7 linked regions of the Neurospora crassa OR74A genome follow. The protein of the gene in region 1 purifies or fractionates together with the protein of each later gene. This does not show direct contact. Links are inferred from orthologs where the notes say so. Each region holds a gene or a part of one and is shown in the gene's direction. Other genes may lie near its edges. The genes, in order: NCU07041, NCU08951, NCU04485, NCU01367, crp-10, NCU00115 and NCU02428.

What was found.
Region 2: the proteins of NCU07041 (region 1) and NCU08951 purify together in Saccharomyces cerevisiae (affinity purification with mass spectrometry; 3 studies listed by BioGRID). This does not show direct contact. The link is inferred for Neurospora crassa OR74A from reciprocal best matches to the Saccharomyces cerevisiae genes KRR1 and NHP2.
Region 3: the proteins of NCU07041 (region 1) and NCU04485 purify together in Saccharomyces cerevisiae (affinity purification with mass spectrometry; 3 studies listed by BioGRID). This does not show direct contact. The link is inferred for Neurospora crassa OR74A from reciprocal best matches to the Saccharomyces cerevisiae genes KRR1 and ESF1.
Region 4: the proteins of NCU07041 (region 1) and NCU01367 purify together in Saccharomyces cerevisiae (affinity purification with mass spectrometry; 6 studies listed by BioGRID). This does not show direct contact. The link is inferred for Neurospora crassa OR74A from reciprocal best matches to the Saccharomyces cerevisiae genes KRR1 and RRP9.
Region 5: the proteins of NCU07041 (region 1) and crp-10 purify together in Saccharomyces cerevisiae (affinity purification with mass spectrometry; 5 studies listed by BioGRID). This does not show direct contact. The link is inferred for Neurospora crassa OR74A from reciprocal best matches to the Saccharomyces cerevisiae genes KRR1 and RPS3.
Region 6: the proteins of NCU07041 (region 1) and NCU00115 purify together in Saccharomyces cerevisiae (affinity purification with mass spectrometry, with the first as the bait; 3 studies listed by BioGRID). This does not show direct contact. The link is inferred for Neurospora crassa OR74A from reciprocal best matches to the Saccharomyces cerevisiae genes KRR1 and FCF2.
Region 7: the proteins of NCU07041 (region 1) and NCU02428 purify together in Saccharomyces cerevisiae (affinity purification with mass spectrometry, with the first as the bait; 6 studies listed by BioGRID). This does not show direct contact. The link is inferred for Neurospora crassa OR74A from reciprocal best matches to the Saccharomyces cerevisiae genes KRR1 and EMG1.

What each region holds. Positions count from the first base shown.
Region 1 is NC_026504.1:4,998,579-5,002,496, forward strand, and holds NCU07041 (90S preribosome/SSU processome component KRR1), read left to right. Parts: upstream 1-1,341; 5' UTR 1,342-1,520; coding exon 1,521-1,775; intron 1,776-1,833; coding exon 1,834-2,183; intron 2,184-2,250; coding exon 2,251-2,608; 3' UTR 2,609-3,115; downstream 3,116-3,918. Other genes in the region: NCU07042 (alcohol dehydrogenase), read left to right, coding at 3,263-3,321, 3,453-3,918. UniProt on the Saccharomyces cerevisiae protein: Required for 40S ribosome biogenesis. Involved in nucleolar processing of pre-18S ribosomal RNA and ribosome assembly. Essential for vegetative growth.
Region 2 is NC_026505.1:5,797,999-5,802,119, reverse strand, and holds NCU08951 (ribosome biogenesis protein Nhp2), read left to right. Parts: upstream 1-1,425; 5' UTR 1,426-1,678; coding exon 1,679-1,964; intron 1,965-2,071; coding exon 2,072-2,514; 3' UTR 2,515-3,263; downstream 3,264-4,121. Other genes in the region: NCU08952 (translation regulator GCD7), read right to left, coding at 1-655, 713-810; NCU08949 (hypothetical protein), read right to left, coding at 3,574-3,631, 3,710-4,121. UniProt on the Saccharomyces cerevisiae protein: Non-catalytic component of the H/ACA small nucleolar ribonucleoprotein (H/ACA snoRNP), which catalyzes pseudouridylation of rRNA and is required for ribosome biogenesis.
Region 3 is NC_026504.1:3,204,100-3,208,629, forward strand, and holds NCU04485 (pre-rRNA processing protein Esf1), read left to right. Parts: upstream 1-1,390; 5' UTR 1,391-1,458; coding exon 1,459-3,621; 3' UTR 3,622-3,867; downstream 3,868-4,530. Other genes in the region: NCU04484 (hypothetical protein), read right to left, coding at 4,105-4,530. UniProt on the Saccharomyces cerevisiae protein: Involved in the 18S rRNA synthesis. Required for the early cleavages at sites A0, A1 and A2.
Region 4 is NC_026505.1:3,791,022-3,795,644, reverse strand, and holds NCU01367 (rRNA processing protein RRP9), read left to right. Parts: upstream 1-1,725; 5' UTR 1,726-1,912; coding exon 1,913-3,802; 3' UTR 3,803-4,118; downstream 4,119-4,623. Other genes in the region: pcb-4 (proteasome component C11, variant), read right to left, coding at 325-526, 613-862, 937-1,094, 1,151-1,152; NCU01366 (hypothetical protein), read right to left, coding at 4,613-4,623. UniProt on the Saccharomyces cerevisiae protein: Involved in nucleolar processing of pre-18S ribosomal RNA. Required for efficient pre-rRNA cleavage at sites A0, A1 and A2, and biosynthesis of 18S rRNA.
Region 5 is NC_026503.1:4,034,961-4,039,589, forward strand, and holds crp-10 (40S ribosomal protein S3), read left to right. Parts: upstream 1-1,523; 5' UTR 1,524-1,683; coding exon 1,684-1,706; intron 1,707-1,965; coding exon 1,966-2,731; 3' UTR 2,732-3,726; downstream 3,727-4,629. Other genes in the region: NCU11185 (protein phosphatase), read right to left, coding at 1-535, 599-622; NCU00490 (DUF803 domain membrane protein), read right to left, coding at 4,612-4,629. UniProt on the Saccharomyces cerevisiae protein: Component of the ribosome, a large ribonucleoprotein complex responsible for the synthesis of proteins in the cell.
Region 6 is NC_026503.1:2,663,799-2,667,502, reverse strand, and holds NCU00115 (rRNA-processing protein FCF2), read left to right. Parts: upstream 1-1,554; 5' UTR 1,555-1,667; coding exon 1,668-1,925; intron 1,926-2,138; coding exon 2,139-2,513; 3' UTR 2,514-2,943; downstream 2,944-3,704. Other genes in the region: CCAAT-binding transcription factor subunit AAB-1, read right to left, coding at 1-137, 218-231, 298-385; NCU00114 (30S ribosomal protein S10), read left to right, coding at 3,165-3,206, 3,282-3,352, 3,417-3,449, 3,625-3,704.
Region 7 is NC_026507.1:2,520,874-2,525,213, reverse strand, and holds NCU02428 (nucleolar essential protein 1), read left to right. Parts: upstream 1-1,344; 5' UTR 1,345-1,426; coding exon 1,427-1,478; exon of another isoform or gene 1,479-2,067; coding exon of another isoform or gene 2,068-2,095; coding exon 2,096-2,364; intron 2,365-2,435; coding exon 2,436-2,912; 3' UTR 2,913-3,588; downstream 3,589-4,340. UniProt on the Saccharomyces cerevisiae protein: S-adenosyl-L-methionine-dependent pseudouridine N(1)-methyltransferase that methylates pseudouridine at position 1189 (Psi1189) in 18S rRNA.

The sequences.
Region 1 (3,918 bases):
GCCAATTGACCCACTCGTGGTGGATGCGAGCGAGACCGTGGGCCCGTGACCGGGATTGCCAACTTCGGGATCGAGACTGCGCAGGCGGAGGGAGGTGCGGGTGTGTGGTGGTCGAGGTCAACGTCCCAGAAATGACGTCTGTGCTTATGATGAATTCGATTTGTTTCTTTTCCTTTTCTCTTCTTCTCAAGGATAGACAACGACAATTGCCGTCGATCTTGGCAAAGGTCACAAGAAGCAGCGATACCTGAAGGTCTTGGGGTTCGGGATAAAGACCGACGCCAGGGATACGAAGGGGAAATCGAAGGGAGTAGTGTAGAATGTCGCGGGGCCGAAGAAGAAAAAGAAGGGGAAGATGTTGCAGGGACGGAAGGAGTTCTGATTCTTGGCGACACAAAACCGAACCTACCCCTTTCTGACGGAAAACGTTGATGGATTTCGAAACCTCGTGCACGGAATGCTGTAATCCGTGGCGTACCACAGTGCAGATTGTGCTTGCCCGATCATGATGACCACAGCGCGCCAGGGTCGTCAGATCTTTGCAGGTTCTCATTGGGCGAACCTGGGATGATTTCTTGGTTCTTCAGCTGGAAAACCAACGACGAACGTTATCCAGCCTTACCGCGACTTTATCACGGCGAACCTGAAAATTGCTGCTGTTAAGTTCGTCAACTTTGACTCGGGCGGGATTCGATGCTTCACCATCAATTACTTCAGCGTATCTTGAACACCTTGGTGAGATTTTACCGACGGTACAGGTGTCAACAATGGCCCTGCTGGGAGTATACAAATCACGTTGAGACCCCAGCAAGTCAAAACGCTCTTGTCGCCAATCCCACCATGGCATATCAAGACCTTTTGATGTCGCCAGCACGTGTGATTTCTTGTTGATGTTCCGTGCCGTGCCGTGCAAGCCCCTGTCATGATAAGCTAGTATGTAGATAAGATAACATCTACAACCTGGGGGGAAAAAACAGCTGAAAGGAGCAGATGGCCAAGAGTACTTGGATAGACTCGTTGCGAAGTACAGCAGGACAGTAATGACAGAACCAAACTTCCACCTCGCTGAGATTTGAAATAACTGAATCCGGTCGTTTTCTTATATTTGCTCCTTTTTTATGCTGTTGTCGTCCTCAATGAAAATACCAGGTTCCAAAAGTTACAACTTCCATGCAAGTGGAAGTTCCAGTTATCAGATAAGGAGCTGCCCCTGCATCTGCCAGCTGGCCGCTGATCCTGTCGCGCTTCTGCAGCCGGAACTCAACCTGCAAGAAGCGCCGCGCCCCCACTCTTACCAGCTGCGGCAGGCTTGTGTTCCAAAAATTTCCATCCGTGCAGCGCGATTCGGCTGGCCATCTTGCCATACAATCCCTTCAACAAGCCATTTATCAAATCCAACCACCAGACCCAAGTCGCTCGCCCTGATATCGTGACCTGTCGCACAACCTCAATCGAGACCTCTGATTATTCATAAACATCAACAGCCCACAAGAGCCCCGAGAAACACATTTACAGCCAAAATGCCGTCCACACACAAGAAGGAGAAGCCGTGGGATACAGACGACATCGACAAGTGGAAGGTCGACCCTTTCACCAAGGACGAATCCTCCGGCCCCTTCCTCGAGGAGTCTTCGTTTATGACCCTATTCCCCAAGTACCGCGAGCGTTATCTACGAGACTCGTGGCCACTCATCACCAAGGCCCTCGACAAGCACGGCATCACCGCAGTTCTCGATTTGGTGGAGGGTTCCATGACAGTGAAGACGACAAGAAAGGTACGGCGGATGCGTTTGTTGTCTTTATAGTCACCACTCTTTGCTAACTCACGTCCAGACATATGACCCCGCAGCTATTCTTAACGCCCGCGATCTCATCAAGTTGCTCGCCCGTTCAGTACCAGCCCCACAAGCGATCAAAATTCTCGAAGATGGCATGGCCTGCGACATCATCAAGATCCGCAGCATGGTACGGAACAAGGAGCGTTTTGTTAAGAGGCGCCAAAGAATTCTCGGACAGAACGGCACAACGCTCAAGGCTCTCGAGCTTCTCACACAAACATATATCCTCGTGCACGGAAACACAGTGTCGGTAATGGGTCCTTTCAAGGGTCTGAAGGAGGTGAGGAGGGTTGTTGAGGACACCATGAACAACGTTCACCCAATTTACATGATTAAGGAGTTGATGTAAGTTTTGCGCCTGCACGCCCACTTGCGACGCCCCACAACAACAATAACTGACATGAGAAAACAGGATCAAACGCGAACTCGCAAAGGACCCCGCTCTTGCCCACGAAGACTGGTCTCGTTACCTCCCCAACTTCAAGAAGCGCACGCTTTCCAAGCGCCGCGTCCCCCACGTCGTCAACGACAAGACCAAGAAGAACTATACACCCTTCCCCCCTGCGCCCGAGAAGAGCAAGGTGGATCTCCAGATCGAGTCCGGCGAATACTTTCTCGGCAAGGAGGCCAAGCAGCGGGTGGCGGAGCAGGAGCGCGCAGAGAAGGCCAAGCAGAAGAAGGAGGAGAAGAAGCGCGAGCGCGAGAAGGAGTATGTGCCGCCCGAGGAGTTGACGGACAAGAAGGCCAAGAAGAGGAAGACGAGCGACTAAGCTGGTACAAGTGGTGCAATCCAAAATATGGGGGCGGTGGAGGTGGAAATGGAGTTGAGGAAGACGATGATGAAGAGAAAGAGAAAGGATCCTGGAATCCCATGATACCCATACTTCAGCAGACGATTGAGATTTCTCCTGCTTCGGGATCCAAGGGTGATCTGGTTGCTAAATTTCACCAAAAGCCTTTGTCAAATGTGTTATCAAAAACAATGACTTGTCCAGAAAAGATGTCGGTTCTTGAATCTGTCGACATTTCGAAACCCAAGGCCGAAACAAAACCCGATGACGATCGCGAATAAAGCCCGATGTGGCAGACCCGCACCACAACCGGGCTGCTCCACCCCGGCGGATCGCAAACCAGGGGCATCACAAGGCGGGCCGAGGCAGTTGCATCATTGGAGCGGGATCCGGCAACGAATGCGGGGGAGAGTGGGGGCGGCCATTGGTCGGTGGCAGGGTTGGTGGGAGAGGCTCAATGACAGAGTGACAACACCCCTTTCCCCGGGTCCAATTGATAACAAATCTGGCCGATGTCGCAACTGATTTAAACTTGATGACCCTTTCCTTCTTTCACTTCTTGAACATACTTCAACACTCATCCAGTGGATTGGCCTCGGTAAAACACAACCCACACATAAACACAACGCCAAGATGCCTCTCCAACTCACTGTCAAGAAAATTGACGGTAAACCCGGCCAGGTTTACTACCCGTAAGTGTTTTGTTCTTCCTCTTCACATAACCTCACCTTTCTTCTCCCCCATACATATCCCCATCACCACCACCAACCAACTCACTCCCACCATCCTCCCCGCATGACTAACCCTCGGCCTCCCCATCTAGCCTCCAACTAAACACCATCCCCAAACCAACCCCCGGCCCCGGCGAGCTTCTCATCCGCCTCCGGTCCTGCGCCCTCAACCACCGCGACCTCTTCATCCGCCAACACCTCTACCCCGGCATCTCCTTCGAGCAACCTTTTCTCGCTGACGGCTACGGCGTCGTCGAGTCCACTGGCCCTTCCGTCTCCCCTGCCGCTTCCCAGCTCGTCGGCAAACCCGTCCTCATCACCCCCAGCCGCGGATGGATTTCCTCCCCCGACGGGCCCGACGACCCCAACCAGCCCTGGACGGTCATTGGCTCATCTCAGTTGACCGACGCCGGCACGGGGCAGGAGTACATTGTTGTTCCCGAGGCGGAGGCAGTACCCGCGCCAGAGCATCTGAGCGCTGCTGAGGGCGCAGCCCTCCCGCTCGTTGGACTAACGGGGTGGAGGGCGTTGGTGACCAAGGCGCAGGCCAAACCGGGG
Region 2 (4,121 bases), on another chromosome or scaffold:
GGGTTTTTGACGCTCAGCGCTGGCGATGAACACGGTAAACCTCCTCTTTGCTGCGGCTTTGAGGAGGAATCTCTCGACTGTTGGGGAGGGGAGGTAGGCGAGCACGTAATCGCCGGGGTGAATCTGGATGTCCGCGAAACCCGCAATCTGGTCGTCCGCCTGGCTGATCTCGTCCATAATCTCTTCGATGCCATCGATAACTTCGGACCGTAGGGCATGCATGTTGGCAGATGCGCCCTGGGACATGGGGGTAGATGCGCCGGTAACTGGTGACTGTGCGGTCTCTGAGACGCAGAGAAGGTTGAACATGGACTTGGACATGGGGAGAGTCGCGGCGCGGAGGGGCGTGGGGCCTGGCCTTGTGGAAATGGTGGGCGTTGTGGGCAGCTGGGAGAGGTCGGATACTGAGTCGCCCATCTCGTCGGCATTTCTGTCCTCGGAAGCCTCATCACGAATAAGACCCATTACTCGGCGGACAACGTTGCCGATGACTTGCTCAGTGGGAGCAGCTTGGGCAAGTCTGTGGCCGGTGTTGGAGACCTTTGCGAGCAGCTGATCGACGTTCTGCCACTTAGACTTGGCGACGACCTGGAGCAGCATATGGGCTGTGGCATTGGCGACATCATCGCCCTTGACTTGGCGACGTTTTAGGAGGCTGCCCAACCATGTTAGGATCTGATATAAGATAGATATGAAGCAGGCGTAGGCGTACTAAATAAGAGCCTCGATAGAAGCCTCCAAGGGCTGAGTGTTGAGAGACTTGAGGAGCTTGCCCAACGTGGGGGCATAGCTCATTTGCGACGACGCCATGGCGATGAGCTGTGTATAGTACTCTGTGTGCTACTGAGGTATTGTGGAGGTGATGTCGAAGTGAGAGTGCGACTGTTCCCTGCTCGAGGCTGTATGGTCTTTACGAATGGTACTGGACGGATATCTATGAAATCGATATAGGCGGGGGGGAATGACAAGGCTGCTGGTCGCAAAAAGGTTCTCCAACAATAGCTTCCAGAACTGGGCCAATGTCGCTTGGGATTGTGGACTTTTTGCCAGTGAATTGTCGAGGTGAGTCAATGGCTCACACTGAATGCGCTTGGAGGTAGGTATCACAAGCTCTAGAAATTTAGTGGGGCAGGCAAGCAACCGGCCTTCAAGGACAAAGCACTGCCGCTGTTTGCCAGTTTGCGGCAGGCTAGAAGCAGGCCTTGTTTAAGTTCAAGACTACTACTAATCCCTGTCGTACTGAATGGAAAGCCCCACCAAGCAAAAGGTGGAAGTTTAAGACATTTCCTCTTATCGCGTGCTTATCGGAAAATTGGTCCCTCTTATCGCACCCAATTCCAGGCGCTCACCTGCATTATCGGCCCCCGGGCGGAACGGCTTTACAATTGGCCTACAAATTTTTGGTCGCGTCGCTCTGCTTTGATTGACTGGGTCACTTGATGGACCCAGTAAAATCTGCGTTGAAGAATCCATTTCTGCGATCAACCGCCCCATCACGATACCAAATACCTTGACGCCCCAACCCAGTAACTTTTTTTTCTCTTTACTGCAGTGGTTGTCTGTATAACCATTCTTTAATTCCTGTTTGATACCCCATCCCCCTCCACCACCAACTTTATCTACACACACCCAACCACCACCACCAACAACAACACACACACACATTTAATCCGACAAGATGGGTGCCACCGACAAGATCAAGGAGAAGAAGGACAAGTCCGAGAAGAAGGACAAGAAGGAGAAGAAGATGAGCGAGGAGGCCGGTGTCAAGAAGGAGAAGAAGGACAAGAAGGAGAAGAAGGAGAAGACCGAGAAGCTCGCCAAGGCCGTCGAGGCTCACCTCGAGAAGGAGGGTTCCGTCGACCCTGAGGATGTCGTCAAGACCGCCGAGGACCTCGTCCCCTTTGCCCTTCCCCTCGCCGACGACAAGACCCACAAGAAGATTTACAAGTTGATCAAGAAGGGTACGTTTTGTGACTACTCTCCAATTGCATTGCCAGGCTCCTCAATCGCAGCCCACGCACGACTTGTACTGAACCCAAGCTAACTTTTGATTAAAAAAAACAAACAGGCGCCAAGCTCAAGTCCATCCACCGCGGCGTAAAAGAGTGCGAGAAGGCCATCAAGAAGTGCCCCCTCCGGACCGCCGCCTCCCCTCCCGCCGACGCTCCCGGCCTCGTCATCATCGCCGGCGACATCTCGCCCATGGACGTGATCATGCACTTCCCCATTCTGTGCGAGGAGCACGGCGTTCCCTACCTGTACATTCGCTCGCGCGCCGACCTCGGCGTTGCCGCCTGCACCAAGCGCGCCACCTCGGTGGTGATGCTCAAGCCCGAGGGCAAGAAGTCCTCTGGCAAGGAGGAGGGCGACAAGGTCGACCCTGCCGAGTACCTCGAGGCCTACAAGGAGCTGGTCAAGACGGCGCAAAAACAGTGGAACGTCCAGGTCGAGCCCTGGGTCAAGGGTACTCACCCGCTCCAGATCGAGGCCAAGGTCAAGGGCACTGCCTAAATTGGCGGGAGCAATGACTCGAGCGAAACAAAACACACAAAAGATGAAAGGCTGCAACGACATGATGGCGACAGCGGGAGCACATGAGACCATGACACTATTGCAGGTGCCGGTGTGATTGTGCGTCTGCTTGTTGCAAGAGTGTTCGTGTGCGTACGTGCTTTTTGCTCAGACAATCGGACCGTCTTACCGTTGAGAGAGAAGAAAACAGGCGACCGATCATCTTGGAGATTGGACGCTGGCGGGGAGCGCAAAGACTGTTATTCGATGGACTTTTGCCTGGGCTTGGGGAACAGATGAAGGAGGAACAAGTTTGTGACGCCTTAATCACAACCTCTATCACTCTTTTCTTCCCTCGATGTCGATTTCTGTCTCCGCTTCGGGCTCCTCCCACCTCTCGCTCTCATCACGAAAAGATTGTCGGATATCGGTCATCATCTCTTCCGCATTGACCACATCCGGTCGGCTCCCATGGGCTGGCTTGGTTGTTCTGGGCTTTTATCTAAGCTATAGATAGAGAGCATTGATGGGTTGACGGTTTTAGTCTATCCTGGTTTCGGTTATGGATTTATGGCGCTGGCTACTTGCTGTCATTAAAATATGGAAGGCGTTGCGGGGTAAACACTTGTATTTTGTACGGTATATATGAGAAAGGAATACCAAGTTCATCAGTTCTCATTTTCCAGTTCGTATATGTTCAAGCGTCTTTGGGTCGAATGCCGCGGGCTGTACTTCTGGCCTATGTCACGACACACAACACAACATCGACATGGCCAACTACCATCGCAACACTCAATCAGATGCAAGACAACTCCTGGTCACCAGCAGACAACAAGCACACGAGCCAAATAGTGAGTTATCGCCAGCGTCTTCCATTCATCTCAGGAATGCTGATACTATGCTAATAGCTTGATACAATACAGAGGGTACCAAGAAAAAAAACAGGAAATGCCCAGGAACACGCCCACACTCCAAATTGTAGGTGCGATACTCAAGTTCCCCATTATCATTAACTTCATTAAACCATACCAGAGTTCCTCTTACTCAAAAAAGGACCCTTTACTCGGCACGCCAGCTTGTCCGGCCGAGAGTAGGCGATCCGGAGGTAGCAGAGGCGCTGTTTCAACCATGTCAGCAGACTGTTCCCACAGGATATACCGTAGTAGATAGGTTCTTTTACAATAGGGTGACCCACTACTCAAAAGGGTTGGTGCGCGTTCCCCACCAGGTAAGGAAGACGGAAAGGCCGACAGTCTCAAACAGCTTAGCGAGGACGTTGATGCCGACAGTCTCAAAGGCGCGCTTCTCAACGAAGAACTCAGAGATGAAACCGGGAGCAGAGGTGGCAGCGAAGATGAGACCGCCGAGGTAGGCGGCGCCGCGGTAGCTGAGGGTGCCGGTGGCGTTGATGAGAGCGCCAATGCCGTACGACTGCAGGGCAGAGCCGACGAGGGAAGAGCCCCAGGCCATGACGGCCGAGGTGGCCTCGCGCGACTTGATGAACTCCTCCTTGCTGTTGGAGATCTTGGCGCGCTGGTAGGTCTGGCCGAAGAGGGGGGTCATGATGGCCAGCTCGGTGGCATGGTTGAAGATGGTGCCGAGGGCAA
Region 3 (4,530 bases), about 1.8 Mb from region 1:
GCAAGCGACGCTGGCACGGCCGGGAATGTGGTTGACAGAGGTCTCGAATGTCGTTGATGGCTTCGAGTCAATGTCGCGTCCCAAACAGCTGGGCAGGATGAAGAATACAAACACCCAAATCCGGACTCTGTGGTTCACTCTGTTGATGAAGAAAGGCGTGCTCGGTGTCTCACGTGATGCAGGCATTGTTGATGCTTCTCGCTTGTGAAAATGCCAAGAACATCATCGACATCTGATTTAGGGTTTTCCGGGGTTGTGTTGGCAAGGCATGCGGAGTCGATGACACCCGGAGAGGCATTCCGGAGCTCAGTCCTAGGGACATTCGCCTCGACTCCCGCCTTGGTAACCCCACCTGACCATCACCAAGGATCTCTTTCCTGGTTGAGCGCAAACAAAGAACAGCTTGGACTTGGTCCGGAAGTTGTGTAATGATGATTGCCCCTGAAGTGAGGAACGAATAGTGGTGGGCCATTGATTCTCGGATGGGGACCAAAGAACAATTATAAGTCTTGTTCGGACGCCCTTCATCTTTTGGACTCGCCATCCAACCCTCATTAACCATCCGGTTCATATCTCAGGATCCCACGTCCCAGACACATCCTTAACAACCCATCCGATAACGCGGCACTGTCGACCAGGTTCTTCCAACTTATACAAACCATGAATCTGGAGAGCTACTCACGACTCATTTCCTCCGACCAAGACGAAGACGTCAAGGCAGAGAATAGGGCTTGCACAACGCTATTGTCGCTCTTGATGCTTGTTGGGATCCTTACGTTGGGCGCAACGATGTGGCATGGGAACAGTTAAAGAACTGAAACCTGCGTAACATCTTCGGTAGGTAGTCAATCCGCGAACACTGTCAATTCATGCGATATCAGTCGTCCTAACGAGTGGAAGGTCCAGATTCGATGACCAGCGACAGCGACAGCGGACAGGACTGGATGGCCGATCGGTGGGTGGGTGACGTCGAATGGGAGTTCTCTGGTCATAAGTTGAAGGACGGCCGATGAGGCATGCGATGACAGGATTATACGTTGGATTCCGAATGACGGACAAGTTGATACCCGAATTTGTTGGATTGGATGGTCGAGGACAATCATCGACGGGATTGCTGGAGGACGATGGCGTTTTTGGAGTTTTTCGAGGTTGAACAGCCCTGCGCTGACAGCGTCAGTGGACTTTGGCTTTTGACGGAGTTTTTAGCGGGCTCCATTTGCTGCATGCCAGGGCACCAATGCGGGGAAGTGGATTGATCCATAGCACAGGACTTGGCGTTTTAGGTGGGGCACCTTGACATTAGCATGTGCAGACCGCCTTTGGCAGAATCAACAACGCTCCACTAAAATTTTCTCGGACTTTGCGTGCTGTGCACATGTCGGGTCGAATCTGCGAGTTTCCTTGCTGCCGTCGAATCCTCGATTTTGGATCGCATCAGTCACCATCTCCACATCCACCATGCCCAAAGATAACAAGCCTAAAAAGCGCGATGGCGCTCCTGCGATTACCGATGCTCGCTTTGCCAACTTCGAGACCGACCCGCGATTCCAGCTGCCCTCAAAAAAGAACCTAAAGACCAAGCTCGACAAGCGTTTCTCCAAGGTTCTCAAAGATGCAGAGTTCACCGCCGTCGCAAAGGTCGACAGGTACGGCCGCAAGCTAAAGACCGACACCAAGAAGAAGGCTTTGGAACGGCTGTACGAGGATGAGAGCGAGGACGCCACAGACAACGAGGCCAAAGAGAAGGCCAGCAAGGGAAAGAAGGACGAAGCGGAAGACGAGAGCGACTTCGAGGTCGAGGACGACGACATTGTTCAGCGCGAACTCGAGGCTGCCAACTCATACGACCCTGCCCGTGGCGGCGGTTTTTCTTCATCCGATGACGACTCCGACTCCGACTCCTCAGATTCCGAAGACGAAAAGCCAGAGGTGGAAGACGAGGCTGATGCGGAAACACGACCCGGTATCCGCTTGCGCAAGGATAAGGAGGCTGTTGAGGAAGGCGAGATCACAAACAGAGTTGCCATCGTCAACATTGACTGGGACCATATCAAGTCGATCGATCTATTCGCCCTCTTCTCGAGCTTCGTGCCCCCAGGTGGTCGCATCGAGAAGGTATCTGTCTACCCTAGCGAGTTCGGCAAGCAGAGGATGCAAAGAGAAGAGCTGGAGGGTCCTCCCCAGGAGATCTTCAAGAAGAAGAGTGACTCCGATTCCGACAGTGACTCGGAGGACTCTGATTCGGACGAGGCCATCAAGAAGGAGCTTCTTGAGGAAGGAGACGACCAGGACTTTGACAGTGACGCCCTTCGCACTTATCAGCTCGACAGGTTACGTTACTACTACGCCGTTATGGTTTGCTCCGACAAGAACACAGCATACAAGATCTACGAGGCGACGGATGGCAACGAGTATCTTTCTTCTTCCAACTTCCTCGACTTGCGATTTGTCCCCGACGATGTCACGTTCGACGACGAACCCAGAGACGAGTGCGACAGCGTCCCTGCGGGGTACAAGCCGGTGGAGTTCGTGACCGATGCTCTCCAGCATTCCAAGGTCAAACTCACCTGGGATACGAACCCCGAAGATTACTCAAGAAAAGAAGCTCTCAAGAAGGCCTTCACCGGTAGCCGCAACGATATCGCCGAGAACGACTTGCGCGCTTACCTTGCGAGCGACAGCTCAGACGACGAGGAGGACGAGGAGGAGAAGGAGCAGTTCGAGGCCGAGGGGGCCGCTGCCGAGGAAGCAGAAGAGGAAAAGACACTGTCCAAGAAGGAGCTTGCCAGGCGCAAGATGCGCGCTGCTCTTGGTCTTGCTGACGAGCCCGTGGTAAAGTCCAAGAAGGATACTCCGGTGGGCGAGATGCAAATCACCTTCACGCCAGCACTATCCGCCAACGACAAGAAGAAGGGTGACGAAGATAGGGAGGAGACGACCATCGAGAAGTACAAGCGCAAGGAGCGCGAGAGAAAGGAGAGGAAGCGGCAGGAGATGCTTGCTAGGAGGGAAGGTCGCGATCCCAACGCCGCTCCTCAGCAGGAGGAAGAGCAAGGCGACCAAGGCGAAGATCTCGGTTTCGACGATCCATTCTTCACTGCTGAGCCTGTGGTGCCTTCCAAGACGGCGATTCGCAAAGAGGAGAGGCTCAAGAAGAAGGCTGAGAGGGAAGCTGAGGAGGCTGCCAACGCCGCCGAGAAGGCACAGCTGGAGCTGCTTATGGCTGATGAAAACGGTGACAGTGGCCGTCTCGATCACTTCGACATGAAGCAGATCGCCAAGGTCGAGAAGGTCAAGGGCAAGAAGAAGGGCAAGAAGGGCAAGAAGGGCGTGGAGGGCAACGATGGTCTCCAGGAAGAGTTCGCCATGGACGTCGAGGATCCTCGTTTCAAGGCCGTTTTCGAGAGCCACGAGTTCGCTATTGATCCCTCTAATCCTAAGTTCACGGCTACTCAGGGTATGAAGAAGCTTCTTGAGGAGGGCAGAAAGAAGCGCAAGGATGGACCCAGTGTTACGGAGAAGAGTGAGAAGAGCGCCAAGAAGGTCAAGACTGACGACGCGGATATCGATGGTCTGATCAACTCTGTCAAGAGGAAGGCGAAGGCGAAGGCGAAGAAATGATTGCATCACGGGTAACAGCATATTAATGGCAAGTTTTTGATTTCTGTTGGTTCACATCCATCTGTCGTTCCTCCACTGTCCAGTCTTGTAAATGGTCCTTGGGTCAATGTGGTTTAAATTCAGGTCATGTAGGGTTGCTCCCTTTGTCTTTAATGATCGTCCCCTTTTGTGGATGAGGACAGAACCACGTACAGCTACCTCGCAACTCTTTTCCACTTCACAATGGCGGCCATAATATGTGGTACTCGAGGTCCATCAGTTCCTCATGGCCATGTAAGTTGGAGCTTTTGTTGTCGAGATGTTTGCCTTTACCTTTCTTAATCTCTCTCCCCGAGGAAATAACTCTGTGTGTCTGGCAAAACCCCTGGAAAGACACTGGGCCTCCGACATTCTTCCCTCGACAATTGTGTTCGTCTTATCCATAGCTACCTCTTTTCATCGTCCTTCGAGGTTTGCAAGCGATTCTCAACCTCCGGCCAGTCGTCAAGGTTCCTCCGTCAGATCCACAACCGGAACCTCTTCCCCTCCCATCTCCACCGGCAGCCACTCCTCCACATCATCCCTCGTTCTCTTCTTGCCTGTAGACTCCTTTTGCTGGGCCACAGTAGCCACACTCTTTTCTTCGACTTGCTCGGTCTTGACGACTTTCGTTGGCTTGGAAGAAGCCACTTTGCGTTCGCTCTGTCCCTCACTGCCATCATCCTGTGTCTCTTCGATCTTTTGGTCCACTGCGGCACCATCGTTGCAGTCAGCGTCAGGCATATCGATATCCTCCGTCGTAATTGTCGTTGTTTTGTTCTTTGGTGTCTGTTTCTTCTTCTCGCTGGTGATGATACCGCTTTCGTCTCGCTGCCTGCTGTGTCTAGCCTCCACCACGGACTCCTCTCCTTTGCCATTCGATACCATGTC
Region 4 (4,623 bases), on another chromosome or scaffold:
AAGGATCAAAAAGAAGCAACCCTGACGTATCGTATCGCGATGGTGTCGGTGGCAGGGTGTATGATCGGCCCAGACGCGCTCCACACGCCACACTGAAACCGGGAGCCGCAGAGACGGACTCTCGGACTTCACACCTCTAACATGATAGCCTTGTTTCTTCCTCTCTCTTTCTTTATGATCATCAAATTCGCCAGGGGTCTCCCGTTGGTGGAGGCCACCTGGACTCATGCATTTCCGTCGTATGGGTATTATTATACAGAGTTGTCCTTCCCCCGCAAGGCTTCCCAAGCCGCAAGCAGGCAAGTAAGCAAGCATCCCCACAAATCAAGCCATCTTAACCACCTTGTCGTCGTCGAACTCGATATCGATGATGCCGTCCTTCGTTACCGCCTTGACCGTCATGCCCTTGAAGTCTATGGGTAACCTCCTCTTGAGCTCGTCGGTGCACAGGTTGAGAAGCTTGATACCCTGGTGGAGGGTGATGTCTGGGTGGTGGTGCTTGTCGAGAATCGAGAGGCAGTAGTATCTGATGAGGAAAGAACCGGTCAGTGATTCTGTACATGACTCCTACGCATCAAAGACGGTACAGAGATATCGGTCGAGATCACATACTGTGCGTAGCCGTGGGCGGCATAGGGGACCTTCGCCAACGACGCAAGGTAGTCGAGCCAGTAGAGGCTGGGCTTGTGGGTGATAGGGTCGACACCTCCGAGAAGGAGGTTTACGTTGTAGGGTTTGCGGGAGCGCAAGCTCGTCGCAAGCTCGCCGCGGACAAAGTTGGCAAGGGCAGAAGGGGAAAGGTCGGTCCCGTTGCGCATGGAGTAGAGCTGGGCGTTGGCTTGGGTGTACTCGGCGAACTGCACTGTCGATGGGAACAAACAGTTGGTTAACTTGGTTTGGTTCAAAAGCGCCATCATCACGATATCGCTGCCGTACCTGTGTCGCCAGCTTCACCGGAGAATGCCATCAGTGTGTGCTTGTTCAGCGACCTTGTCTTGTCGTCGGATGCCTTCAGGATGGTCGCTCCCCGCATAGCGGCCTTGGACGCCGCAATGATGGTAAAGTCCTTGCCCGTGATGCCTAGTAAAACCTCCCTACATGCTGATCAGCTCTGATATCACCTCTCCAAGACATGACCGATGCGACGTACATTTTGGCTGATTGTTATGTGAGTGAATGGATGATATGCTGTTGTTTTGGTAAGCTTTGGCAAGTTGCGTTGGCTTGCACGGTTCTCGTCGTTACCTACCTATGGCGGGACAGGGCAGTTGGAGCTTGAACTGACGGCGACGGGGAACGCGCACTGGAGCTTCAGCCTGCAAGCTGACAAGACAAGCACGGGCCAGGCTGTTCAGGTGCCCGCTATCGTCTTCCATCTTTCCATTCCAGTCCCCAGAAGGGCTGAAAGCTGCAACCACTGGGCAGGCAAGCAGACAGCGAGAGAGACAGCCCCACTCCGTCATGAAACCTGCCAGGATGGCCCGGGGACGTCTTTTGGAGACAGCAAGAGCCTCCCCACCAGCCGACTACTAACAGCTCGCTAGCTCGGTTCCGCGTGACAGAGCCCCTATATCTGTTAGTGACGCAATAAGGTAGAGTGCACGGCACGGGGATTCCCTTCTCCGACTCGTTCAATTGTGCCAAGCCAGTGGAGGAGATCTTGACGAATCGGCGTGCTACTCCACCGATAGAAAGCCTGCAGGGTGGGCAACTTTTTTTTTTCTTCGAAGTCCATCGGGTCGGGTGTGTCTAGGCGCGAACGGCCATCCCAAAAATTTCAACTTTGATAGCCATGCAGCAGCGTTGAAGTGAAGCCGAACGCGACCCCAATTCACATTCCAGTGTCATTCTCTACCACCAGACGACTCCAGTGCATTTGCACCGACCGCCCCGGGCCGCAATTGCCAACACCATGTCGTCCTTTTTCACAGCACCCGCTGGGGAAAAGAAGAGGAAGCGTGCCTCTGCCAACGAAGCCCCCCAGAAGCGAGTTGCGACTGGCAAATCGACTGCCAAGTCATCGTCGGTCAGAGGCCCTGCCGCCAAATCACGTCCCGCAGCCCCCAAGAAAGCCGTTGAGCGCGACGAGTCGATATCCGGCAGCGACATTGACAGTGACGATGGCGACCACATTGAGAGAGAGGACGGGTCGGAAGGAGAAGAGGAGTCGGACCACGAAGGAGAGACGGCGGCTGAGAAGCGGTTAAGATTGGCACAGCGATATCTGGACAAGGCACGACAAGAGGTGGAACTGGAGGACGAGTATGCCTTTGACGCCGAGCAGATTGACCGTGATTTGCTGGCCGAGCGTCTTCAGGAGGATGTGGCCGAGGCCAAGGGCAAGGTTTACCGCCAGTTGGCTTCCAAGCTCGACTTTGACAAGGCCGCACACACACAGTTTCGATGGAATTCAGGAACGGTAACATCAGTCTCGGTTTGCGCGCCGTACGCTTACACCACCACGAAAGACGGCTACCTTACCAAGTGGAAGCTACAAGACCTACCCAAGAACCAGTGGCCACAGACGACCAAGAAGAAGCCAAAGAAGCCGCCTGCGCCGCCCAAGAAGAAACCCGAGAGAGTGTGCTTCAACAGGGCGAACCCGATCAAGGCAAAGGACAAGACATACCAGGGACACACCAACGCGGCCATCCTGACGGTCAGGGCCTCTGCCGACGGCAAGTTTGTTGTCACCGGCGGCGCCGACAAGCGAATGGTCGTCCATGACGCCGAGACCCTCAAGCCCCTCCGGGCCTTCACCCAGCACCGCGACGCCGTTACCTCGCTCGCCTTCCGCCGCGGCACTAACCAAATATTTTCTGCCTCCAAGGACCGGACAGTAAAAGTCTGGTCGCTCGACGAGCTCGCCTACGTTGAAACACTCTTCGGCCACCAGGATGAGATCCCCGACATCGACGCTCTGGCCGGCGAGCGCTGCGTGTCCGTTGGCGCGCGCGACCGGACCGCCCGCTACTGGAAGGTTCCCGAGGAGTCGCAGCTCGTGTTCCGCGGCGGCGTGTCGGAGAAGAAATCCCATAAGAACCGGGACCAGGCGGTGAACCACGATGGCACCATGGACCAGGTGGCCATGATCGACGACGAGCTCTTTGTGACTGGCGACTCGGCCGGCACGCTCTCGCTGTGGGGCATCAACCGCAAGAAGGCGCTGTTCACGCAGCCGTGTGCGCACGGCATCGACCCGCCGCTCAAGCCGACCGAGGTGTCTGCCGACGCGAATCCGGACGAGAGCGTGGTGCCCACCCCGCAGCCCCGCGCCATCACCGCCCTCCGCACCATCCCGTACTCGGACGTCATTCTCTCGGGCTCCTGGGACGGCTTCGTGCGCGTGTGGCGCCTGAGCGAGGACAAGAAGAAGATTTTGCCTGTTGGCGTGCTCGGTTCCAGCACGGCGCTGCAGCAGCTTGACCAGGCCGAGGCCCAGAAGCAGAAGGAGGAAGCAAAGCAGAAGGCAAAGGCGGAGAAGGAACCTGCAACCGCAAGCAGTGGGGAGGAGCAAGCGGACGACGAGGCCTCGGTGGATGGGTCGCAAGACAAGAAGAAGAAGCAAGAGAGCGGGCTGATTAGGGGTATCATCAATGACATTGCCATCTTCGAGCGCGGCAACCGCGGTCGCGACGGCATCTGCATCGTGGTCGCCACAGGCAAGGAGATGAGGCTGGGAAGGTGGAAGTACATGAAGGAAGGAAGAAACGGCGCTACTATCTTCGAGGTGCCCAAGGTTGCTAGGCGAGCGGGGGCTAAGGGGGAGGAGAGCGATGAGGAGGAAGAAGAGGAGGAATAGAGGAAGAAGATGGGAACCATACGTACGTTTGTTCTGTCTTGTTTTGTCTACCTCGTTTGACGGAGCGGGACATGGGAGAAACGCGGAGAATGAGGAAGAAGAGAGCCAAATAATCATCGCCTGTTGAAATTTGTTACAAAGTGCTCTGGACGTTATATCGCATTCGCGACAGCCAAGCTGTTCATAGACAAAGGAGAAGGAGAAAGTAGAAAGAGCAAGTATTGTACATACCACACTATATCTTTTAGGTAGCCTCACTGCATTTGAAGGGAGTTGAAAAGTTTCTGGTCATGAATCCATTCCACTAGATTTCCGATTAAGTTGTGCCACACAGAGCCATTAAAATACTATGGAATCTCTCACCAATATATCATCAAAGGGATGGTAAACTTCTTGTAATGTGCTCTCCGTGGAAAAAAATATCAACAGAGGATTGGTAGTTTGTTAGATCACGCTGCGCTACTTCTTCCTCCAGCACAAGGTTGAGGCTCCATCATCTAGCTCGAGACTGAGATGGCCACCCGACTCAAAGGTACTCCTCGAGGCCTAGCTGGACGTCAATACCGCCAAATATTCCGCCTGCATGATAAGATGTACAAGACTTGGGGAGTTCGAGAGTTTCAACTCCAAAACAATCAAGCAACGAGCTTCAAAAAAGACAACGCAGCCATGCTATACCAGCCATCGAGGCCTCAAGACCATGCAATGCAAATGGGCAGATGCATGAATGAATATGCTTACACCAACAATAAACATACAACAATGAACCAATTCAACGCTCTAACCAATCCACATACTCCTGGTCTTCACTCAGTTCTCAT
Region 5 (4,629 bases), on another chromosome or scaffold:
TGGAGGGCACAATAAGCAAGGCCGGATAGGTCGGGGAGAAGGAGTAGTCCTTGTTGATCGTAGAGATCCTCCATCCCAGTTCGCGTGACTTTTCGCTTATCCCTTGCCGGCGGAACTCGGCTCTGACATCGTATAGGTCCCAACCGTTGATTTTACTTTCGGGTGAGTTTGGTGGAGGTCGGTAGCTGAAGGCCAGCAGCTTATCGACGCTTCCTAGCTTGCATGTTCTGGACTTGATGAACTCGAATGCCTCCCGGGCTTCCTTGTCGCCTGCGAAGTTGAAGCTAACATATGTAAAATCTCTGAACCGAATACGTATCGAGGAAGGAACGCCACTAGAAGGGGGCGTGGGCCGTAGGGTGCACTGTGAAATAATGTGGAAGGCAAACCACACTTGCTTCACACTCTTTTTCAGACTCGGATCTGCGGCAGTCAAAGACTCGGGGGGAAAGCGGAAGACGAGATGGTAGTCACTGAGCGCAAGGTCGCCGAGCTCCGGCTTTCCGCCTCGCAAGGCATGGATGTTTGCGAAAGTCTGGCATTCGGTTCAGTAAAGAAAACGAGACGTAGTTGGAAAGGTAGATGATGGAGAGCATACGTGCTTGAGGTGAGGCGCCGCCATCGTGATGTTGGGAGGTAATACTAACTACCCCGGCACTATGAGGCGCTGTGCAGCCGAGGTAGGAGACCGGACGTCCGAGACCCAATGTGTCCGGACAGGAGCGCAAGACGTGTTGACAGATGCGGTTGCGGCGAGAGGAACGGGGAGAATAGAATCTGCTTCGCTTAAGATGTATCGTAGTTGTACAATAGTGCCAGACTGCAGGACTGGGAAACAGAAAAATGTACCAATTAGGAACATGTGTCCTGATATAAACGAAAAGGAGGAACTTCGCCGCGCAGTCACTGGTGCCGGTCAACGATAAGTGATTCACGCGGAACTTGTTGGGATTTCAAGAGATTGTCCCCGAGGTCCACGTGGAATCGATTTGGAGGACAGGTATTTAAAGGCGACAGGGACTGGTAACTTTGTAAGCTACAGAACCTCTGCTGCTAATCCTCCTGCCGTCCGAATCCAAGGGTATGCGAATAGTGACTGCGATTTGCGAACAAGCAGAAAGTCAGCATCTGGAGTGCAACGCGCTCTGGAACCGGGGAAGCGACGATTGACGTCGATGGACACCCCACTATCAGCGCCACCCCGAACCCGACTGAGGACGGAACGTTCATGGTGCCTGCCGGTGTCAGAAATTGCCCGAGCCAGCAACGACTGACAATCAAAGGAAGTGAAGTGCACGAGGTGGTCTGGGCGCAAGGCTGGGCCTGGACGGGGACGGGAAGCGCAAGGAAGCACCTCAACCCCACATGTGAGATCTGTACGTATCTCCTTTTTTGGGTTGCGCTTGGCGGCTCCTACCTAGCGTTGGGCGCGCAGACTGGGTGCGGATTGCCAGCCGCTTGCCAGCCGGGATGAGCCGTGGCGGCTGTTAACCCTACTCAGCCAGCCACTCAGAAGCGGCAGAGGGCAGCCCACCAAGGAATTCGCAAAAAAAGTAGCTGTGCCGGTCGAATTTCCCCCCATCTTTTTGAAAAGTCCGGTGAACACCGCGAGAAGGTATCCCACTCCATCCTCCTCAGCAGCACAATTGAAGCCCTCAGGACCTTCATAGCCAAATCGCAAAAATGGCTGTTCCCGGCACCCAGATGTAAGCAACCAGAGCAAACCAAGAGCATGGAAGCCTCCTACATGTCTACTACACGTCTTCACGACTGTCTACACGTCGGTGCGATCTGCTGCTGCTGTGGGGGTGCAAATGCAAAACGAAGGCGTTCAGTCACGAAGCCGGGAGATATGCTGCCCGCTGGTTGCAGCAGATTCAGCCGACGGGGTGGGATTTAGAAAGTGGTGGCTTGGAAAACAACAAAAGCGGCGTTGATGCTGACTGCTTCTCTTTCTGTCTACAGTTCCAAGCGCAGAAAGTTCGTCGCTGATGGCGTTTTCTACGCCGAGCTGAACGAGTTCTTCCAGCGCGAGCTCGCTGAGGAGGGCTACTCCGGTGTCGAGGTCCGCGTTACCCCGACCGTCACCGACATCATCATCCGCGCCACCCACACCCAGGAGGTTCTCGGCGAGCAGGGCCGCCGCATCCGTGAGCTCACCTCGCTCATCCAGAAGCGCTTCAAGTTCCCCGAGAACTCTGTCTCCCTCTACGCCGCCAAGGTCCAGAACCGCGGTCTCTCCGCCGTCGCTCAGTGCGAGTCCCTCCGCTACAAGCTTCTCAACGGTCTTGCCGTCCGTCGTGCCTGCTATGGTGTCCTCCGCTTCATCATGGAGTCCGGTGCCAAGGGTTGCGAGGTCGTCGTTTCCGGCAAGCTCCGCGCTGCTCGCGCCAAGTCCATGAAGTTCACCGATGGCTTCATGATCCACTCCGGTCAGCCCGCTAAGGACTTCATCGACTCTGCCACTCGCCACGTTCTCCTTCGCCAGGGTGTCCTCGGTATCAAGGTCAAGATCATGCGCGGCTCTGACCCCGAGGGCAAGTCCGGCCCCCAGAAGTCTCTCCCTGACGCCGTCACCATCATCGAGCCCAAGGAGGAGCAGCCCGTTACCCAGCCCATCAGCCAGGACTACGGCGCTAAGGCCGCTCAGGTCCAGGCTGCCGCTGAGGCTGCCCGCCAGGAGGAGCAGGCCGGTGAGGAGGAGGCCGCTGCCCCCGCCGCTGAGGAGTAGGATAACCTCAAGGTCGGGTCAAATGAGGTTTTGCCTTCGATCGAGGTGCCTGTGTCTTTCGACGAGCCTGAGGTCGCTCCTGTGGCGGAGTTCAATTTCGGCGCGGACGATACTTCCATTGTCTGGTAAAGGCCGCTGGGTTTGGGCGGGGTCTTTTTTCAATGTGCTTGCAAGTCCAAACAAACACTGGGTTGCGGAAATGGATGGGTTCAATTTGGCGTCAACTATGGTCATAGCACATTTGCATTAAGACTTGCGAAAAGGGGAAATGGCGGACGGATTGTTGCTTGGGATTATAATTGTTTTTTGTAACCCCACGATCAATGCAGCAACGTCGGGAAATTCCTGACTTTCGCCAGGGAAATAAGATACCTGAACAAGCCCTCCTTCCTTGCCTTGTTTTGCGATTGCCAATTGTGCCATATCCTTTTGTGTGATGAAGGAGACTATTAATGGAATATAGGCACCAATCTAAGTGAGGCATGTGAAGAAATTCGTCCGTAGGTTTGTTGATATGATATCATGGCCTAAATCGGGACATGGAATGTAAGCAGGTAAACATCAGCCACTCTCAGCTCAAGTGTCCCGCAAATATCCAACCGTTCAAGATTTCCCGTCTTTGCATAGTAGCTTCACACCGAACATTTGACGAACACTGGAGGACTGATGAATGTTAACATACACTAAATGAGCTCTGTCTTCACTTGCTCCGACGTTGTTTTGAAATACACGGTTACACCGACTTTGGATATTCAAGCTGACAGACTCCTGCTCAATCGTTCAAGACTTAACAAATAGATACTTCGAGACAAGTAATCTGGATCTTGTTCTGGCACCAGTCCCTTGTTTAAAAAGGGAGGAAAAGGATATGGACGTTTGAGGGGAATAATACACAACTTGGAGGTATAACAGTAATGGAATATAGTGTCTAGGGGCAGTTAGGACTCGGAAAAGTTGGGAATATGGGATCCTATGAAGGGGTAACACATCATTAAGGCACCCGCTCGTACTTGGAACCAATAAGAAACAAGGTAGAGATACTTCACACGTTGTACCTAACTCACGGAGAAGAAGAAGAGAGTCAGGACACGCATAACACTTTTCTTGTTGTATTGGTTTCAATCATCCATCTGTCTTGGTCCCCATATATAAATGAATCCCTTGTGAATTCCCTCCCTCCTTCTCCTCCTCCTCACTTCGATCTGTTGTCTATATCTCCGGTCTTTGCTCTGCTTGGTCTGAAAGGTGCTGTGTTGTGTGTATAGATCGACAATCAATTCGCTCCATTCGTTACAGATTTTGGGGGTGCCTCGGGTTCTTCTTCACTTATACGCCCCTCTTTATACATCTTCGTTTACCCTGAAGACTTTCATGGTATACACTCAGATAAATCCTCAACTATCCCTTCAGAAGAGGGAACTCTCCTTGATGCAGACCTCGAGACTGCGGTCTCGGATTAGGCAAGTTCGGTCAAACTTGGTGGTGGGGCCCATACACCGATTCCCACCGTTATTTTTCTGTTTCTCGCGCTCGACATCGTGGTAGAGTGGAACGTGAACTTCCCGTCCGTTGCACTAAAGGCTAGGCGTGCATCTGGGAAAGTAGATAGCGTAGGTAGAATGGTTTGGTACATAACGATCTGGACTGCGCCTTGAGCCCATGCCTTGCTTGCCCGCCTCTCCCTTTGTAGACCGGCGAACGTTTAACAGAAAAATGCTACAACCGACATGCCCCCCTTGAGGCCCCCAAATAGCCTAGTCGGTCTATTGTACGTGATGAAGAAGAATATGCGAAGTAAAACAGGAGAGAGAAGAAAACAAGGAAAAAGGAAAGGGTTAAAAAAGACCTTTTCTCGGCTTTGTGTTATCGGGGTATCGTATTCATCTCTCTCCAGACTT
Region 6 (3,704 bases), on another chromosome or scaffold:
GTGTCATTCTCGAGATGGTTGATGGTTTGTTGCCAGTAAGCTGTCAGGATTTCCTTGTAATTGCCCTGGAGGCCCTGATGAACATTGGCCCATGTTCCCGTGTAAAGGTCTGAGGGAGCAAAGCCTTGTTGAGAGAGCTAGCGACATGAAAGGCGTTAGACTGTCAACTATGATGTGATAGGACTGAGAAGCCCGCTTGCAAAGGGTGAGTACTAACCGCAGCACTGGCACCTATACAGTATATCATGGTGAGTAAACTGTTCCCTAACGAAAAGCGCTGAGACGGCGATTACTTACCATAATGGCCGCCTTGGCTCGTGTCGTAGACGGGCTGCTGGCGTTGTTGCTGGTTATGCCCAGCCGAAGACGGATTTTGGGGATCCATGGCAAATATCAATGTTTGGCGAGCAGCGGGGAAACGGGGACTAGTTGGTCGCAAATCGGTGGCCTGTACTGGATGACTTGGGTCAATGTGAATATACCTCTGTCTGTACCAACAAAACTTCAGCTTGAATGTCCTGCTAGCGTCGCGTAATGGTCGCGCTTTGCCGAAGAGCTCTCTGTGTTTCCCAGCCAGGTAGATCTAGCTTCTGCGCGTTGGGCTTAGAAAGAACTATCTATGATGTCGACAAGCCCCTTGGGGTCTTTGTTTACTTAGGACGGAGCCGACGAATGATGATCGCAAAGCCGACTCTCACTCAGAAATCCTGCTTGATTGGGCAGTGCGATTGATTGGCGGGACTCCCTGTTTGGGGAGAGGGGAGCAAGTGGGTGGAGTTCAATGTCAATGGACGACGACTCGCTGCTCCAGGCTCGCCTCTCGTTGACTTCGGGACGAGCCACACGGGCAAGAGCTCCAGTTGGTGAGGAAGGTGAAATGATTGGTGAGATTGGGGGGTGTAGGTCCGTCTTTTGGCGTGAAGCCAAAGGCTGGGAAATGCTATTCGCGGGAACTGGCGGATGAGGATGAGATGGACAGACTAGCAGATAAGCACGTACCTGTGAAGCAAATGGCTTTACTCAAACAGATGCTGGAGGATGTGAAGAGACGGACAATGGAAATAAGAAAGACGGTAAGATGATGATATGTGAGTGAAAGCGGTCAGACTCAGTATAATGGAGAAAACAAAAGGTTGGGCATCAGTGAACCTTTTGAAGACTTTCAACAACTCCCCCTTCAAATGACTGCCGCAGCATTCACTGCAGTCTGCAGCAGAACGACGCCGAAAGACAGCGACTGGCAGCTGTGGCGCGCTACCTGACAAGCTCTGCTCGACGTCGCGGTGGCCCCTGCCCCGAGCCCAACCGTTGACAACTGGCACTCTCCAGCCTCATTTTTTCCGCGCCCAGAGGTATGTATGACGCACGGCCCGGGGCTGTGGACTGCCAACTCATTGGAGGCCTGGCTCCAGTCGTACAAGAGCTTCACGTGACCGTGGAGCTCAGAACAAGTGATGCCAAGCCTTGGCAGAGATGGGGACCGGACGGACGCCTGGACATTTCCCCGCCGACTCCACTCAAAAATTTATCTTTTTCTCGTCCCCAATTTACTGTGAAGCTTCGACTTTTCTTCCCTTCTCTTCCCCTCTCACCAATTGCTTGCAAATCTTGAGCAGCTTTTCCACAGTCTTCATTTCCCGAAACTGTGCATTTGGCCGACCAGCAAGATGGCGGCTTCTGTACTCGGCTTGTCCGATGCTGAGATCGACAAACTCCTTGCTGAAGCCGAGTCTCGCCTTGCGAACTCGGACAGCTCAGATGCTGTCGCGGCTCCCCAGCAAGACGCTGCTGTTGCACCCGCAGCGCAAATCCCCGTAGTGGTTGCGGCTCCCTCGGCCGCTCCTGCTGAGGTGGTGAAGCCAACCTTGGAGAACAAGTCCAAGAAGTTGTCGGTTCGGGTGCCTCAATCCAAGGATAAGAGCAAGGTACGTTCAGCAGTCCTCAGCACGCATCACATCCCTTCCATGATGAAAATCTATCCCATTTTTTGATGACGCAGGTCGGCGCCCCGTCATGGGGTTGCTGTCTGCACCATAATGATTACCTTTATGTTCATAGTTACTCTGACTGGACATCCTTCCTTCTCTTCCGTTCATGCTCTGCGAGTTTGCAGATCGGTATGCTGACTAGAGAAACAGGGACCTAAGAATGACGCTGGCGCCGATTGGTTTAACATGCCCCGTACGAATTTGACCCCTGAGCTGAAGAGAGACTTGCAAATTTTGAGAATGCGTGAGGTCGTCGCCATGGGAAAGCAATACTTCAAGAAGGACACTCGCAAGGACTTTGTGCCCGAGTTCTCCCAAGTTGGCACTATCATTGCTGGTGCTACTGACGGTCGTGACAGCCGACTTACCCGCAAGGAGAGGAAGCGGACCATTGTCGAGGAGGTTCTTGGTGCTGAGGTTGTTGACAAGTACAAGAACAAGTACCACGGCATCCAGGAGAAGAAGCAGAGCGGAGGAAAGAACTTCTACAAGAAACTCGTCAACGGAAGGAGAAAGCGCAAGTGATCCGAACAACACCCTATGGTCAAAACACCTTGCGGGACACCTACGACCGTACCACAACCATCATCATATGCACGCGATTGTTGCAGCAAGCAACGATGCGACACCGATATCAAAACGCCGCTTCCGGCTCCTCGTCGGTTGACCTTGGTCGACACGACAGAGGATCGGCATCATGCAGGGCAATATTGTGTGGGATTCATAGTGTTATCTCAGTCTTGAGCTTTAGTTCGACTGCACAACAGTATCCCTTGTCCGCGTGGCGATCAGAGAAGGCATCTCTGCCAGTTATTGCGAGATTGCCAGGACTTTTTTCTTCTTCTTTTTTTTTTTCCAAAGGCAAAATGGAGAAATCTCCGTTAGATAGCCACGATGTCACAGAACTGGTGCCGTGCGAAGCCGAAAATCGGACAATCCAATGTTTGATAACCATCTGTTTTCTCCTATGCTACCAGTGACTTGTTATTTTGCTTCTGTTCGCTCTCTGTGGCGGTGATTTTTGGTAGCTTAAGAAATGGGCGTCACTAGCTCCTTATCGATAAGAACCCCGAATTGACCCCCCAGTATGGAACTTGCGCTAAAAACTCGGTTGATCCGCGCAGCGCGCGACGGCAACTTGGAGACGTTCAATCTCCCAGACCACCCAGAGCGAAGATGATAATAAGGCCAGTAGTACGGTCCCTCCAGGGACGGGCGGTAAGAATTCTCCTCATGCGTTTGTAAGATGTGTGCGCTTGTGGAATAGTTGTCTAATCTGCTTGGGGATGGCAGCCTCTTGCGACCCTCCGGTCCGCCCAGAGCGTCTTCCAGCCGTTGCCCCAGCTCCGGCGCAATGCTTCCGTGTAAGTGACCAGAGTGCTGCTGAGATTCTTGGGTATGCGCGGGCAGGAACTAAGAGTTGAGTAGGACCACAGGTCCCGATGCCGCCTCTAAGGCGAGGTTAGTACCCATTGCCGCGAATAATCATCCTCGATAACGTCGCCGTGCCTCCGAAACCCGCCCACCCGCTCGTCGAAGACCCCGCCGATGTGCACGCACTCCCTCCCTCCATCTATCGTCACACAACCGAACCAGCCCAGGCGGTGCAGAATGACTGACCGGTATATGCTGCTAGCACCACACCGATCGCCCGGATCACGACGACCACCGAGGCCCCCAAGGACCAGAAGAAAGCCAAGGCCGCCGCTGCCGCCG
Region 7 (4,340 bases), on another chromosome or scaffold:
GGTAGTTGGATTAATTTAGTAAAGGGTAATTTACTATAGGTTGAAGGATAGTTCGTTTATCCGACGATAGTACTATTATAATTAATTAGGTTATTAAAGTTATTAGTAAAGTAATTTTCTTATTAAAATAAATTATTATATATTAATAAATTATTAGGCGGATTATTAGCTAGGCCGGGGTTAGTTAAATTATAGTTAGCTATAGTATTGAAATTAGCTTTTAGATTATAGTATATTTAATTACAATTATTAATGAATAATAGTATTGAGAATAAAGAAAGTACTTAGTAGGAGTATAGATAAGAAGTAGGAGTAGAAATACGTTTAAGAATTGAGTAATTGGTAGACGGGGTTACCCTTTATATTGAGGTCTGTAGGTATTCGGATTAGGGTAGTATAATATAATATTTTAATTAATACGAACCAATACAAGTAAATTGGTATAGTATAATTAGGAAGCGCGGGGAGAAGGTATAAGGGAAGGATTGGGAAGGATTTAGAGATATAATAGTAAAGGATTGTTATTATTGTTTGCGATTGCAGGGTTGGTGTTGAGCGATATAGGGTCTTTGCGATTAGAGGTTTAATGAACCGTTTGAAGATTAATTAGTTTACTTAGTTAAAGGTTCTAATTGAAAGGGGTTTAGTTTGGTTAATTAATTTTTAATTGTAGCTACTATTTGATACGGGTAATTGGAGCGCTCTGTAAATAATAGTATGATGATATTTGAAAGCGTTATGAAAAATGATGTAGAAGGAAGAACTAGAAGCTAACGGCTAGCCTAGAGGGTAAGCCTTGGGAAGGCGGTTCTGACGGTACCATTTTTATAAAGCTCGGACCACCCATTAAAGTAATGTAGCCTTGAGGGGGTAAAAGTCCAAAAGTTCAAAGCCTTGTATTTCGACGATTTTTAGTCGTATGAGGGAACTAAGGCTACCATTGGAATCAGAATAAAATGTTCTATATAAGAGTAATTTTTATTTATCTTTACTAGCTTCCTTGAATTTATAATATATAATAATATATAGTTGGGTCCTACAGCGGCTGACGGCCGAAATGCTCAAAATTGGCTCAGACCTGCTACCGCAGAAACGGGTGGGGTGGGGTGGTTTTGGAGGTTGTGGGTCTGACTGAGACTATTTCAAACGATGCTTTCTTGTGAGGACTGATGGTTGCCGGCGCGCGATATCAATGCCAAGCTTGGGGTAGGGGCTGACTGCTCTCAGTTCGTATGGCCCCACACAGTCGGTTTATCCAGGTCGTGTTATCGAGCTTCGTGAACATATAAAAGGGCACGTGCGCCCGCGCACCCGCGCTCTGGGCTCTCGTCTCGTTCTTCCTCCAACTTTTCCGCTTCAATCTTGCTGCCATCAAGGGTCCATTTGGTTTTCCATCGTTGTCTTTGCTCCGTGCTCCCCTGCCACCATGTCGTCCGGATCATCTTCCCCAGAACACCCCCGTGCTGGCAAGCGGCCTCGTAAGTACCCTCCTCGACCTTTTAATCTCTTCTATGTCAGATAATCATTTTGGTTTGGGCCCTGAATGCGAGGTGTTGCGGCGCTCGAGGTATGAAGTTTTTCGGAGGTTTGAGGGGCGGGCTTGAGCGTTCCCAAGCTGTATTGCTGCGTGTGTCCCGGTTCCGTTGTTGCCAAGCATCATAGCGCATGCGCAGCGCAGAGGACCAAAAAAAATCAAACAAAAAAATCGACGGGAACACCCTGACGGGAAAGACGCCGCAAAGACGTACTACTACTGTACACGGAAAGAGGGGCCCGGGAAGCCTGGAACTTCGGTACCCCACTCTCTTTTGACTGATCGCCAATGGTGGCCAATGCCATTTCGTTTTTTTCGCTCGAAAACTCGAAAGGCCGTCTTGTCTCCATTCTTGCGTTCTCTTGGCTACACATCATCCATCGTCCCGTCCCTAGCACCATCACGACGACCATATCAGCAACTATCATCAAACCTACCGTTTCTACCAGCGCCGCCGCCTGCCATTTCTCCTACCTGTCGTTGCCCCCGGACATTTGGTTATTCGATTATTGAGTGAGCTTCAGGTTTTCAACATGTCTAACCACGACGTGACCATGGCAGGCACCCAGTCGCTCCCTCCTCCGGCACTGCCCCAACTCGTTGCTGAGCAGCACATGCCCATCCCACCTACCGACAAGGATACTAAGAGGCTCATCGTGGTACTCTCCAACGCCAGTCTCGAGACCTACAAGGCGTCCCACGGCGGCTCTGGCCGCATGGGCATGCAGCGAGAGGAAAAATACTCGCTCCTCAATAGCGATGAGCACATTGGTGTCATGCGCAAGATGAACAGAGATATCAGTGACGCTCGCCCCGACATTACTCACCAGGTTGGAAACACTCCCAGTCTGCATTCAACATGCGGATACTGCTACTGACACTCGCCATTTGTGTACTCTAGTGCCTCCTCACGCTCCTTGACTCGCCCGTCAACAAGGCCGGCAGGCTGCAGATCTATATCCAGACCGCCAAAGGGGTCCTGATCGAGGTCTCGCCTGCTGTCCGTATACCCCGCACTTTCAAGCGCTTCGCTGGTCTCATGGTCCAGCTTCTCCATCGTCTGTCCATCAAGGGAACCAACTCACAGGAAAAGCTCTTGAAGGTGATTCAGAACCCTATTACGGACCACCTGCCTCCCAACTGCCGCAAGATTACGCTCAGCTTCGACGCCCCCGTTGTGCGCGTTCGCGAGTACATCGACGCTTTGGGCGAGAATGAGAGCATTTGCGTCTTTGTAGGCGCCATGGCCAAGGGCGCCGATAACTTTGCGGATGAGTATGTCGATGAGAAGATTTCCATCAGCAATTATAGCTTGTCAGCCAGCGTAGCGTGCAGCAAGTTCTGTCACGCCGCTGAGGATGCGTGGGACATCATTTAATCGACAATCAAACCGTGGTGAGGAACATGGAGGGATGGGTGAAAGGTCTGTTTGCCTTTCTCACGCGTGAGAGAGGCTGCGGGGGCTTTGGCCAGCTTCGTGATACAACATCGCGATTTTGCGGGCTAGAGCCTCCGGAACTTGGGTCGCCTGTGATTGCGCTGTCGCTGTTTTTGCAACCAAAACATGGGGCGTTCAACAACGGACTCAAGACGCTTTCATCGTCTACGCAAGACCATTCAACCTGGCCTGCCTTCCCTCCTCTCCTTTCGTCATATACTCTTCTTCGCCTCTTCCTAGCTCTTTCATACGTCCAGCCTTAGCTAGTCAATACTATCTTCTTGCGGATACAAAGTTCTCGGGTCAAGTGAAACGCAATTTTTTGTCGAGCGAACGCTTGCCATGCGCCATTCCAACTCAGACATTGCCATGACGGAAAGAAGGGCAAGTAGCGACTTGCCCAGTTAGTATCAGTGGTAGAGAATGGGAAGTGACGCACTGGAACCATGTTTTGTCATCCTTCTTTTTTGCTTACACGATATCAGCACTACTACCTAGTAGCCATCTACCACAGGTCAGTGTTTTCGTGGGTTGCTCGTTTTTCGGACTGCGACGCCTCACTACCCTCCTCTCCTTCCCAATGCCTTTATTCTCCCAAATAAAGCATTTGCAAAACAATGTGTCTCCCTTGCTGCGTAAGCTCGTTTGATTTCATTTTCACGTGCCTGTATCTCTTTCCATGGCCATTTGAAAGCCTGACGAATAGTGCCGTGTACTCGCAATGTACAAGAAGCGTACAGGCCTTGATGTATCTCACATGGCATTCTTCATTCGGCCAATAAACCGCGGAAAGTAACACCCTGGGCATTGGCGTTTGGCCACTGGGTCTTCAGACCGATTGGATCATGGGCTGCAGGACCATATCACCTGTGGATATGAAATGGTTATCCCAGTTGCCGTCAGCCTGGCATTTACTCCCGAGACTGTTCGTATGAACGCGCACTGGAGCACTCCCCGCCTTTGCTGTGCCTTGCAAATTTGTGAATTGGATCTTTTGGGTTTGAATGATCTACAATGCTTGTGCTCCAGGAACACACAACCCAGTGGTAACAGGAAAGATGTGTAAAATGTAGTGTTGCTAATATTTTCTTTGAAATTTTTTTTTTATAAATGAAAATATGATGATAGTTTGATATTCTTCATACATGGAAAGCCCAAAAACTTTTTGTAAGACTTAAGACCGAGCACGTCGTTCAGTTTCCGGTCTAGTTGGGTTTGGTTATTGGGCCTTTTTTTTTTTTTTTTTTTTTTTTTTTTTTTTTTTTTTTTTTTTTTTTTTTTTTTTTTTTTTTTTTTTTTTTGGCACCGTTTGACATGCTAATTTTACACTCAGGCTGATTCGGTTACGAGAAGCCTTACATTGCACTA